Linked DNA regions of Coturnix japonica. The protein of the gene in region 2 purifies or fractionates together with the protein of the main gene of each other region. This does not show direct contact. Links are inferred from orthologs where the notes say so. Each region holds a gene or a part of one and is shown on either strand. Other genes may lie near its edges.

What was found.
Region 1: the proteins of KPNA1 (region 2) and MTA3 purify together in Homo sapiens (affinity purification with mass spectrometry; 3 studies listed by BioGRID and IntAct, with this or other methods). This does not show direct contact. The link is inferred for Coturnix japonica from reciprocal best matches to the Homo sapiens genes KPNA1 and MTA3.

What each region holds. Positions count from the first base shown.
Region 1 is NC_029518.1:21,360,750-21,363,208, reverse strand, and holds part of MTA3 (metastasis-associated protein MTA3), read right to left. Parts: intron 2,374-2,459; coding exon 2,238-2,373; 3' UTR 1-2,237. UniProt on the Homo sapiens protein: Acts as a component of the histone deacetylase NuRD complex which participates in the remodeling of chromatin.
Region 2 is NC_029516.1:69,214,623-69,218,122, forward strand, and holds part of KPNA1 (importin subunit alpha-5), read right to left. Parts: intron 2,195-3,500; coding exon 2,087-2,194; intron 418-2,086; coding exon 318-417; intron 1-317. UniProt on the Homo sapiens protein: Functions in nuclear protein import as an adapter protein for nuclear receptor KPNB1. Binds specifically and directly to substrates containing either a simple or bipartite NLS motif.

The DNA.
Region 1 (2,459 bases), on a different chromosome or scaffold from region 2:
ACTGCATCAAGCTGCATAACAGGGAGTCATATTATGAATCTCTTGCTCCTCAAAGGAAAAGAAGAAAAAATGAAGTCACAAGAGACTGGTACAAATACTAATACTTTTGTCAAAGGCAGAAACACACAAGGATTTTACAAAATACTGGCTAGACATTGTAGCACACTGACTGAAAGAATCATTCAAATACAAGCTTAATAAGGCAGGGTAAAAAAAAATATCCATCACCTCACAGCAAAAGACACTTTGAAAATGAGTCTGTTGTGTGTGATTTCAGTGATGCCTGAGGGAGACAATGCTCTTTCTGCTCATGTTTTTCATACTTTCAGTCAAATAGATTGCTGAATAATCACGTTTTCTTTATTTTAATGGGTGAGAAAGCTATTATGCAGAAGGTGTTTCCATATGTCGCAGTTAATAAAGGCAATTCTTGCTAATAAGAACGGGTTTTGTCTGTTCAGTATCTGATGAAAAGCTCTCCTGTTGTGAGGAAAAAGCAGATCGTGTGGATAGAAGAGAATTCTAGGGCTGCACACTTCAGTGGCTCCTGGAAAAATCTGTAAGCGGATGAATCCCAGGTCTTCTCCAATTGATTCCCAATCAGTGACATTCATTAGGGTGCTCAGGGTACTAGAAGCATTTCAGGACAAAATCTCTCCTTCTTATTCACCCTTTGCTTGCTGGTGAAGGACAGCGGACAAGACCTGGATCCATCACTCTGTAAAATCAAGTCCCTTCGGGAGGTCACTGTGCTTTCTTTTTCAAGGAAGCATCTGGATGACTGTCTCAAGAGTTCAAAATCTGACATGGTCAGCATGGCTAGTTACAGGCTGGTATCAGAGATGCTCTTTCAGACTGAAACTGTAAATAAATTGGGGGAATATATTTTGGGAAGGGGGAAATCACCCAGAGGTATGAGATACTACTTTCACCTTCATCTTTCTAACCACAGAGCTGGGCATAAATCCATAGCCAGATAATAACCTGACATCCATACAGTGCCATTAAAGTTACCTAATAAAGAACTAGAAAAAAACATCTTGAAGCTTATCCCAGCTTATGGTGATGTGTTCAGTGTCTGACTATCTGTTAAAAGCCATATGGAAACAAAATCGTTGAAAGACATAACTTGCTTAAGATAATCAATGTATCTCAGCTAGGTTTACACAGCAGTGCTACACTCTACTTGCCTCTTGATCTCAAAGAACGGCAGAGATTGTTCACCTGTAAGTACCTGAGTAGAAAAAAGACCTGCCTCTGTTGCCATTCCCACTTTCAGGGGACTGACAGCTTCCTACATGTAGTTACAAAAGGCACATCATCTCTCCATGGTAAGTCTTCACCTGTAGCCTTACAAGTATGAATTTCAAAGCATTCTGCAGCAAGACAACTTTCTTGTCCATATGTATAAAAATGTAGTAATTATTTAGTGGAGAGTCATTGCTAACAGGAAATACTCTTATTTCCTCATGTTTTCCTGGGAATGGTGTTCTGCTGGTTTTGACTGTTCCTGTAGACTTCAAGAAATGCTAAAAATCCCCAAAGAAAAAGGTGGATGCTTGCAAATATATAGATAATCAGACCGGCCAGATGTTCATGGCCACACATGATACTTTCCAGGATTTTAACCAAAGTTAATGTGGTCAGCATTTTAAACCTGGCCATTAATTCTGGGTACAACCTAATTTGGTCAAAGTTTCTGAGCTGCGGAACAACAACTCCTTGTTTCAGCCTCTGGTCGCTCAACAGTTCAGAAAATCAAATCCAAAGTGATTCAAGCCAATATTAAAAAATTCAAATATCTGAAGTCTGCAGCACTTTCTGAAGATGCTGACACCTAAAGGCTAAATCCTGCTACAAATACATGGCAATTGTTTTGAAAGTTACTTATTCTTATATTGCACCACTAGAAGGCATAGACAAAACTGTGGGGGGTACTCTGCATCCAAATTTCTTCCTTGTGGTCAGTATGAATAGTGCCTCTCTGACCATTCAAGTCTGGCAGGGGAAAGTGGGGGAAATAGCGGGACAATCATCAATAGGCCTGCACAGCGAACCTGAAGTAGCCCTTACAGAAACAAAGGAGAACAAGGGCTACTGTTGGATCCTGCCCAGAACACAGAACCCAGCCACAATATAGGTCCATATAGGTCCTGAAGATGTGGAAGGTCCCATTGCATCTGTGTTCACAATTAACAAGATTTTAACATAATTATGTTGCTGATGTTGTTGTGTCTTCAGTGCGTGATGGTTCTTGGCTCTATTCGTGCCTGCCTATTTTTCATGAGAGATTTTGTCTTCGCAAGAACTGGAGAACAAGGTGTTCTGGAAGCTCTTTTCAGTTGCAATCTGGTAAACTTCTTACGGATTTTTCTGTATGAAGGGAAGGAGGAAAGGAGGAAAGAGACAACAGCAGAGATAAATCTCAGTCTTTAACAGGCTACTGAAGAGATAAATAA
Region 2 (3,500 bases):
GATCTGCAAAGTCACTTCGGTGCACATATGCACACAGTTCAACTTCCAGAATTAATAAATTGTGAGCCATAGAGACACTGACTAAAATGCTTAAATTTACATTACATAACAGAATTGCACCTGCATCACTAAAAGTTGTACAGGTTTCACAAATAGAAGTGACTGTTACACACACCTAGTAGGCATATTACAAGAGAGTTCTGCTTGGACCAAACTCTTCACCTAGAAATTTCCACATGGAGCTTGATCTTCACAGCTGTCAAAGTCAAAATAGATGCCAAGGACACCCAAGATTTTTCAGCAAGTTCAATCCTTACCTTTAGAGAGAAGCTTTCGGAATTTCTGAGTGGCTGAAAGCTGCTGTTCTGGGCTATTGGAGAAAATCATCTCAATCATATCAGATGTGATAACAGCACTCTTGTATTCAGGTGGGGGGAGACAGAGCATGAGTGACAGAGAGCAAGAGGAAAAGAAAATTGAGGATTAGTGGGGAGAAGTTTACAATATTTGCTAAAACTGTCAATTTTTTTTTTACCCTAAAATAGCAAAAAGACAGAGAACTAATAAGAACAACAAATGAGTCATCATACACATACAGATACATAATCACAATCATTCTTAAGTATAGTCTTCTTCCTAGAAGACAATTTAGAATTTCTTTAAGCTATGCCACAAAAAGTTCTCTTCAGAATCTCTCACAAGTATTTTCTCCTTTTTTCTCTATCTCCCATCCTATAGAATAACTGCAATATTGTCAGCTTTAACAAAAAGTAGCTTAAATTAGAATAGCATTTACAGTTATACAAGAATACCGATTATTGTTTAGGTACTTGCAACTTCTATGTTTTAAGTTATTCTTATAACAAAATGTACAGGAACTTTTTTTTTTTTTTTTTTTTTTTTTTTAAAGCACTGAAATGCCTAATGCTTGTTATCATAATCAAATATACCACCTATTTTCCCACAATATTGACAGTTTCCATTAATATGGCCAAACTAATCAGTGAGTTTTTTTTATGAAACAGAAAATCTGACATTTTGTTTGATTTGATTAATCTAAATCCATGAAAAGTCAACTAAGGGATGTTGTATTTTTTTCCCCTCTCTTTTTGATCCAAAACATTATAGTGGTTAGATCCAAATCCTTAACAGACAGGAAAACAGACAACAGTGCTATAATACATATACTTAGTCAGTACTCGCGCTCTCAGTAACAAAACGTTAAGTCTAGTTTTTGTCACAGAAGCCAATAAAAAGGAACCAAAACACACAGAACTTTTTAGATCCTTCTTTTTCAGTACTAACTCTTAAGAACTAAAATTAATACTTGAAATAACGTGCATAACATAGGCTTTCCCTACTTTTCACCATCCATTTATTTCATACAAAGTTCTACACAAAGAATTAAATGGCATTTAGGATTCATCTGATGTTTTAGGACTACCTTGAAGAATAAAACTATTTTCCACTAATTATCTATTATGTTGATTATATGCATTTGAGTAATTTTCATTGTCTAATCTGCAATATAAATCAAAAGTAGTCTGATTTGCTTCAAAACACACTCTCAACACAAAAACAAGTACAAAGATCAATGGTTGCACTTCTGGACTGAATGAAGGCTGTATTTTAATTTATTCATTCTGCTACAGCCAGAATCCCATAACATTTTTCTTTCCACAAACAGGAGAATCCTAAAGAAATACAGAGATAGCATAAAAGCCTAATTTCCATTAGAAGGCAGCTATCCCATAGGATGAAATTCCAGCTTGGAATGGAGTTCAAGGACATTCCAGCTAAGCAGGTCTAGTTATGATTCCAACACCCCAATTTCAATTTTATTACCTGAAAATTTATTTACAAGCTTCCAGCCAGTCTCTTATAATTTACTCTTTATTATTTACTCCCATAAAATTTTTCTCCCATAATCTGTTTCAGGTCTCTTCACTGAAACAGGTGTTTGAGAGTTGTCTGGAAGCTCTTTGAATGCCATTTTCCACAAAATTCTGCAATTCCATTCCCTTAAACTCACTGTGTGACAGGAATATTGTTTGTTGAAACTGAGCAGGCCTTTCTCAACACTTACAGAAGTCATTTCCATGTTGTTCATTTGAGCCTCATGGAAGCCACCATCTGACATCACTTCCTCCTCCGTTTCTTCTTCAGCTGTTGCAACATTTCGGCGTTTAAATAACTAAAGAGAAAAAAAGCATTGAATAAAAGCACTACAAAACCAAGAGCCAACATATGTTTCTCACATGCCATATCAGGTTGCAATAAAAACAATAACCAGCATCTCCTGAAAGAAGCTAAAATACTGACACTATGACTCTTCTGGACAGTAAACAGGCACAGTTTAGTAACAGAGTGAATGAACACAACTGTGTGCTAGAATATTCTTCTGGCATTTCTGAAAAATCTTCACTGATACTCCCTCCTTGTCTCTACTGCTCACCCTCCATCTATCTTCTACCTCCCTCTAGCTTACAGACAATTGCTTTCCTTCCTCCCCTAAGATGAGCAGGGGCTCAAAGACATGACAAACTGCTGTGTACAACCATCCCCACAGAATGGCTACTGAGACTGGAAAAATTGAGTTCTGTGGCACAGAGAGGACTTGAGGGGATAATCACTTAAGAATGGTTTACAAAATGACACTGGGATGAACAAAACTTGGATGCTATCACATAAAGGAGGTAGCCAGTTTGAGATGTTATTAGGAGAGCTACAGAGGTTACAGTTTGACCCTTGATTTAGCTGTCTCACTGCAAGAAACTTTAACAGTGATGAGAAGGGATGGAGTGTGCTGCTTGGCCTGTCAAGTTCCCTAATGATTCCAGCACTGAACCATGTCAGATTTGCACCATTACAGAGGACAGCCAAGACAGTGCCCTGACATCAACCAGCTGTTATGCTTTTCTCCAGAGAAATCTGGAAGGAAACAGTACGCAAAGCCGTTAAGTCTACATCAAACCTAGTTCAATGACAGGCATCCCTGTGGAGTGCTGCTCCTTCCAGGCTAGCGTCCAAAGTGTTCTCCCAAGCTCTTCATACACTGCTGAAATACAATCCTATGCCAAAATCTATACACTGATAATTTATGTAAAAATTCAAAAACTTGACAGTGTTTTTGTAGGGTGATTTGGCTTTTTTTAAAAAAAAAAAACAAGTGAACTTTAGAAAAAGGTTAAATGAGTCTTCTTTGTAGAGGCTGAAAATGCAACACTAAGACAATAAAACGAGGAATAAGAATATATTTTATTTTAAAAATGAATACAAATAGAAATCGGGAAGTCAAAGAGTAAAATAGGCTTCTTCACACATGTCAAACAGCTCTAACCAGGAGATGCAATGCTAACTCTGGCATTCTCAATGCTAGTCAAGCATCTCAATAACATCCTCATGACCAGTGTGCCAAATACATAAAAGTACCTGCACATAAGGTCTGAAATTGTTGTAACAGTAAAGGATCAAAAGAAAAGACTGCTTGCAGCTCTACT